Drosophila melanogaster: one gene and its partner. The protein of the gene in region 1 interacts with the protein of each later gene in a pairwise test. Each region holds a gene or a part of one and is shown in the gene's direction. Other genes may lie near its edges.

Region 1 (3,755 bases):
AGCTTCCAATGTTGTGTGAATAAGTGTGTATATATCCGTGGTCTATATATGCAACGGATTTTGGTGAGTTTTACCGTCTGTGTCGGAACTGAGTGTGCCGAAATCTTTCCGAACTAGAAGACCGCACCGTCAACGCACGGCATAGTTCACGCGTGTACTGGCCGCTTAGGATGCCGATGCCGATTCCGATTGCGATCCGAAGATACACCACCCGATCTGGCGCCCGATCTTTGGCGAAGCGAGCTACGTGTTAAGTTCTCGGCGTGATGTACTATAACAATGAGAAACAGTTTACTTATCTGGCTTACACTTCAATAGGAAAACAATACTTTTATATAGCTTCTATAACTTCGGGGTGCGATAAGAACATGAATACAGATACACGGATTGCAACAGTACCCAAGCCACTTGTTTTAAACAAATAACAGGATAATGGGGAGTAATGTAAGCTATTGACTGGGTTACAATCAGGGGTCTGATAACAATCAAACATTGTCCAGTTGCCTTTTGCGAATATCAATGACCACTCACGAGTTGCAACTGATAACGATTATCGCCGCACAATGCAGTGGGTGGGTATTTCACTGGGGGGAACTTTTGGGTCCCTAGAACCCAGACGGATTACTCAATGAATATAGGCGATATGTTTGGGTTTACAGCGAAAGTGCTATTAATGTCGACCGTATGCTCTCTTCGATGTGCCAGCTCTCTATTTGCGGGAATGAATGACTATTTTTATGGGTCTGCCGTCGCTGCTACAATGCTGCATTGCTGCAGTGGGACATCCTTTGAACAGGCGCCATGCCAAAGGATATTCTTTGTGGAAGGGGGGGGGGGGGCAAGGGTTAAGGGTCACATTCGTTTGCGCAATACTTCCAGCGATGGGGCGGTGAACGGTGGGCGGGGCGATCGGTCAAGGCTTCGACTGTGGAACGTGACACGCATATGTCGGCCGGAGTTTGGCCCAAAAAGTGGCCCCAATGGTTGTCCTTCGCGCTGGCAATTAGTCCCTAGCAAGGCGCGTCCATATTTTGCAAAAATTCGTGGGGCGCCTTGTTTTCTTCTCTCTGTATGTGTGCATGTGTGTGTACCTCCGTCTCACTCACCTCAAGTGTGTGTGTGTGTATGAAAATACTGCGGTATACGGCTGCGTTTGTGTGTGAGTGTGGGTTTCGGCTCTACTCTCCCGATGATCCTGCTCCTCCGGTCCTAATCCCGGCCTGCTCGGCTGCTCCTGCGTCCTGACTGCGCTAGAAATTCGCTTAAAACGAGCCTCGACGGGTCATTTTTACAATTGTTTTTTGTTGTTCCGTTCGGCTGTTTTACCAGACGTGCTCGTTCCGGTGTGACTGCCCGCCGCTGACTGTAAAATACTAAACGCATTGCAGCTGTGGCAATGCCCAAGTCTTGGTCTTACGGTCACACTGGCAAAGTTTAAAAATTTATTTATTTCAACTTTCAGTTACTTTTCGTTGGCTTGAATATTACACTAAGAATTCAATTTGACACTTGCAATTTATACATTGTATATTATAATATATTATATGTATTATATTTTATATCATATAAAGATATTTATATCTATTGATCTTTTGATTATAAGCTCTTTGGTTGAACAATATAAGTGCAACTTTCTCCATCACCTTCCTATCTTTTTACAATATGCTTACCTCGTCAATACGTTTTTTCTATTTCAAATATTTCAATATTTCAAAGAAATATTTTGTTTATTTTTCTGTGTGTTTTTAAGCAATCTGACCCCTGTAGAAGAATCCCTTATAATATTAACAAATGTATCCTCAAAATAGATCGATCTCTATCTTCGCAGACTTACACGAAACATTCCAGAACCGATAGTTTTATGCGATATATGAGATTTAAGGAGTACTTTCCGCATTTCGCCATCACAGTCACGCTTTCCTTGGCATTTGCAATCAAATAAGCGCTAATAATAATCGTAAAAGCATAAGAAGCATATAAAGAAGAGTCACCGCCAAAAGCATGCACAAATATATATAAATGGGGAGCGATTTAAAAACAGTGCACTGTGTTTAAAACATCGACAGCTATCGGTTAGCATATCGATATTGACATTCGCAGTCAAACGTTTTCGAGATACAACCCTAAAATCCGAGAAGCATCCAGAAATTTCGACGTAGACGAGGGCGAACCTATAAAATGAGGTTGACGCACGAATCCCGCTCATTATTAAACAAAATTTTGAAGAGAAAGAAACTCTGAAGTAGGGTGTGTTTTTAGTGCGCAAGCCACATTTGGTGGATAAAGAAAAAAGCGAAGAAGAACAATTGAATTGAATCAATTGCGAGAAAGAGACAAAACTCATAAATATTTAAAGAACATTGCCCCGTGAAAATATAAATAGTGTGAATACACAGTGAACAATACCAACAATTGCACTTTGCCATTGCATTTTGCACTTTTCCACTTGGATTTTTGAACTTTTACGGATTCCCAGACAATCGCTTACATTTAAGGTAAGCTTCGTTGGACATATTGCCACATGTGGGCGCATCGATTTGATCTGCTGAAAGAAGCACATCGGGAGCGGAGCTCTCGTTGATGGTGACTACATACGTCACTCGCGTGACAACACGGCAGTTGCACAACTGTGCTGTTCTGTGCTTCTAGCACTTTCCATCGCCCCAACCCAGCAAGCTGGCAATCAGTATTCATTCTAATCTATAGCGTTCGTTCGTTTGTGTTTCCCCTATATTTTCAGCTGAGAGATGGGCAAAGACTTCTACAAGATTCTGGGCCTCGAGCGCAAGGCCAGCGACGATGAGATCAAGAAGGCCTACCGCAAACTGGCACTCAAATACCATCCCGACAAGAACAAGAGCCCACAGGCGGAGGAGCGCTTCAAGGAGATCGCCGAGGCGTACGAGGTGCTGTCGGACAAAAAGAAGCGCGACATCTTCGACAATTACGGTGAGGATGGATTGAAGGGCGGACAGCCGGGACCAGATGGCGGCGGTCAGCCGGGAGCGTACACTTACCAGTTCCACGGCGATCCGAGGGCCACATTTGCCCAGTTCTTTGGATCGTCGGATCCGTTTGGCGCGTTCTTTACCGGCGGCGATAACATGTTTAGTGGCGGTCAGGGCGGCAATACCAACGAGATCTTCTGGAACATTGGCGGCGACGATATGTTTGCCTTTAATGCCCAGGCACCCAGTCGCAAGCGCCAGCAGGATCCGCCCATCGAGCATGATCTGTTCGTGTCGCTGGAGGAAGTGGACAAGGGATGCATCAAGAAGATGAAAATCTCACGCATGGCCACCGGAAGCAATGGGCCGTACAAGGAGGAGAAGGTGCTGAGGATCACAGTGAAGCCGGGCTGGAAGGCCGGTACCAAGATTACCTTCCCCCAAGAGGGTGATTCGGCGCCAAACAAGACGCCAGCTGACATCGTCTTCATCATTCGCGACAAACCGCATTCGCTGTTCAAACGCGAGGGAATCGATCTAAAGTATACAGCCCAGATCAGTCTGAAGCAGGCCTTGTGCGGAGCACTGGTTAGTGTGCCCACGCTGCAGGGCAGCAGGATACAGGTGAATCCGAACCACGAGATCATCAAGCCCACCACAACGCGCCGGATCAACGGACTGGGTCTGCCGGTGCCCAAGGAGCCATCGAGGCGCGGCGATCTGATCGTCTCCTTCGACATTAAGTTTCCCGACACACTGGCACCCAGTCTGCAGAATCAGCTGTCCGAGCTGCTGCCCAACTAGGCT
Region 2 (3,755 bases), 9.8 Mb from region 1:
CGATGTTTATCCGCATTCCGACAACTGCAATTACTTTTACCAGTGTCGCTCTGGCTATTTGATGGTCCAGCAGTGTCCTTTCTTCTACGGATGGGACTACGAGAAGCGATCCTGTGTAGCACTAGGTCAAGCCAAATGCTACAACAAGCTGCAAATGCAAATGAAAATTTATTAAATACACATAATAATATTTATTAAAAAAAAAAAACGAAATTTTACATTTAGTTAATTAACGAGCTTTGTGGAAAAATTGAAAATATTGAACATAAAGTGTTGTATGTTTACATATGGAATAAACCTAAATACTGGTAATCAATAAGACTTCTTTGTAAAACTATCAAGCAACACGGCCGACCTTGACTCTTTCCTAAATTTATCAGGTGATATCAAGCAATTCTTTCATATCTCTGCAAAATGAAGACCTTGAATCGAAACATTTGCCAAAATAGGCCAACCTTCGATTTGAAACATAGTAATTTGACCGATATGATACGATTTTCCTCACAAGGACAACATATGTCATCGTGATATCACCTAATCAATTTCCTAGCTAATCTCGGCTTCCTTTTCACCAGACTTTAAAATTAAAAATCCAGCATTAAAGTTGTATCTGCTTGCCATTTCGAGATACGATATCGATTGATTGCGAGGAAAGGGAGCCATATTTCTTTTTTGGCAAAACAAAATACAGGAGTCTTATCAACTTCTTCCTACAAGCAATTGAAAATGTTAATTTTCTGATACTGAGCCACATATGCGGCTGTATCTTGGCGCCGAATGTATCACATATATGCCAAGTTCACCGGGCATTACGAAATTAGAATATAACTGCGCTCTACTGGAGTCTGACGATAGAAAAAACGATGATGCTTAATACGGGTTAGTAAGATGGATATTCTCAAAACTAATAGTATGATGAGAATTTATTGGTTTCCAGCTTTCTATTTGATCGTGAACTGCTTGCTGGCCACAGCGCAATTAACCTGGAGACCATCGAAGCCCACAAACTCGGTGACCATCAGGCAGAGTGGTAGTAGAATATGTGCCAATCATTTGGTTGGTGAGTTTGTGGAGCATGCGGAGGACTGCCACATGTTTTACCTGTGCGTTGAGAACGGGGATGCAGTCCTGGCTTCCTGCCCACCAACGATGCTCTTCAATTCGGAGAGCAGACTCTGCGATTCGGCGACAAATGTAAAGTGCAGAAATGAAACGGATCCCATAGAGACTCCTCCATTCGATGGCGGAAATGGTGATGGAGATCCGAATAACATGGTCACGGATGCCGCCACTTATTGCTCCACGTTGGTGGAGCAACAACAATCCAGCGACAGGATTGTATATGTCGGCAGCTCGAGTAGTTGCAGAAAGTACTATATTTGCTACTATGGACAGGCGATCTTGCAGGAGTGCAGCTCGCAATTGCACTGGAATGCAATGACGGGTAAATGCGATATTCCGGAGAGAGCCCAGTGCACCGTAGGTGGTCAGGAGGATATGCCAACGAATGGAAATTCCGGTTTCCCATCCGGTGGCACCGCCATTTCGAGTGATCTCATTCACTGCCCCGCCTACGGACAGCATCTGTATCCCCATATGCAGCGATGCGAGTTCTTTATCTACTGCGTCAAAGGACACGCCAGCCTGCAGCAATGTCCTTTCTATTACTTCTTCGATATTGCCACCAAAAGTTGTCAATGGTCGCGCACGGCTCAGTGTGTGCGAGATTTAAATTTGGCACCACTAATAAAATAGAAGTTTTAATATATGTAGCATACAATTTTTTGAACTTTGGGAGATACCAAATGCTTTTAGAGAGGTTTCTTTTAAAAGTACTACTACTTTTAAAACTCCCGCCGATTACAGATGAAAACCAGAACTAATGTGTGTACACACTAACTTTCGACAACAATGTTCGATGAATCGGTTTCGATAAAGTTGACTATATGGCCACTGTTCTTTTTTGCGGTAGTCAGACACGGTCATACAAATCCCACAATATAATGTTAAATTAATCATATTTATACTTATCTTCATTTAAGTAAAGCGAAATATTCGATTGACCCTCGAAGTAAACAACCCAGGTGCTCAAAAATGAAGCTAACAAAGTTAGATTAATCGGTGTCTACGAATTATCTGGAAACACAAGCATTTCCCGTCATCTAACTCAAACTGCCCAACTCGAAAAATCAACAATATTTTTGCATCGGGCCAAAGGTGCATTAAAACCGGAGCCTCAAGTCTCGGGCGGCAGGTAATTTATTCAAGTTCAAAACAGCCACCCGGGGATTCTCCTAGACATCGGTTGCCACAAGAAAAGAAGAAGAATTAGGCGTAATCTTCTAGAAAATTGGTGATTTCAGCCGAGAATGTTTGAGAATTTTCGAGGTATTTTTCGGAAACGGCGTCGCTGCGAGTCGGACACAACACCGCCGCCACCGCCGCCGCAACCCGCCCAGGAGGCGGAGATAATAAACCGATATCCGGAAGATATAGAAGCCGATACGCCCGAGTCCAATGATGGCTTTGACGCCTCCTGGACCGAAGGCTCTTTTCACAGCCCACATTCAGATAGGTAATTGAATTCTGCGCATTCACGCTTCCTCTTCTCTCTTATTGCAGCTTCAAAGCAAAAACAGATAAAATTAAGCTTAAGCAACAGCATCAAACACTTCGACACCCACTCGAAAAAAAAAGCTTAAGACATTCCAAAAAAAGTAGCCAGCAAAGCGGCTAAAAAAAAATAAATAAGATAAAACCAAAACCCAAAACGAAACAGTAGGCAGCTATCCAACCATCTTGGGTGACAAACACTTGACCGGCTTTTTGGAGGGCGACAGGTTTAAATCAAATCTGGAGCAGCCGCAGGATATGGAAGTTGATGCGCCAACAACGCAGGAAACCAGTGACACTCATCATCATCACCATAGTACTTATCACCAGCAGCTGCATCAGATCTCGCCCAGCGATTACCACTCGGAGGCATCCATGAATTTTGATCATTTGCAAGACCTGAGGGCCGATGCCATGGCCTCCTCATCCCCATCCGGATCCGGAGGTGGTGGCAATGGCGGGAACAGCTCCTACGGACTCGTCGACGATAGTAGAGCTCTGGACAGGTTGTTATTCCATCATAACTAAAACCAAATCAGACACGAAACCAAAACAATACCACCGATTATATTCACACAACCTCGTAGCGAAACAAAAGTTATACGTTTCTTATCTATTATTTCTTCACACTACCAGCTACCAGCTTCATTCGAATCTTTTGTTCCATAATAGTAATGGTGATAGCTTAAAGTATCTGCCGCGAACGCCCACACAACTCTCAAAAGAGCTTTGTGTGCGAGCGCCTTTTCTTGTAGACATATTCTGGTTATAATTTCGTAGCTCTATAAGTGGTCAGTCGATCTGTAGCAGAGCGATCTAACAATCTAACGTTGCTTGTCTCGTTTCATGACTTAACCACTGAACCGCAATCACACTTAACCGACATGTGACAGACCATTTAACGCCAGCGAGAGGTAAATCTTGAATTTATAATAACCACTGAGCGTGACTAACCTTTGAGTGACTCGCAGATTTGTCACCATACTGGATAGTTTGGATGCACGTGTGGAGAAGCTGCGCAAGGATGCACTCAACCTGCAGGAGAAGAAAGACTACCTTCTGATGTCCATGGATCTGATCAAGAGCAACGAAATGATGCAGAACATGAGCGAAGGTAAGTGACAGTGATTCTTAAAACTAAT

The links. The genes of interacting proteins can lie anywhere in the genome.
Region 2: the proteins of DnaJ-1 (region 1) and CG7945 interact in a two-hybrid assay, tested with the Drosophila melanogaster proteins (2 studies listed by BioGRID).

What each region holds. Positions count from the first base shown.
Region 1 is NT_037436.4:5,750,586-5,754,340, reverse strand, and holds the start of DnaJ-1 (DnaJ-like-1), read left to right. Parts: upstream 1-2,151; 5' UTR 2,152-2,747; coding exon 2,748-3,752; 3' UTR 3,753-3,755.
Region 2 is NT_037436.4:15,522,332-15,526,086, reverse strand, and holds the start of CG7945 (uncharacterized protein), read left to right. Parts: upstream 1-1,949; 5' UTR 1,950-2,254; exon of another isoform or gene 2,255-2,369; coding exon of another isoform or gene 2,370-2,575; intron 2,576-2,622; 5' UTR 2,623-2,871; coding exon 2,872-3,119; intron 3,120-3,506; coding exon 3,507-3,527; intron 3,528-3,584; coding exon 3,585-3,727; intron 3,728-3,755. Other genes in the region: CG33985 (uncharacterized protein), read left to right, coding at 1-175; CG33986 (uncharacterized protein), read left to right, coding at 864-879, 938-1,755.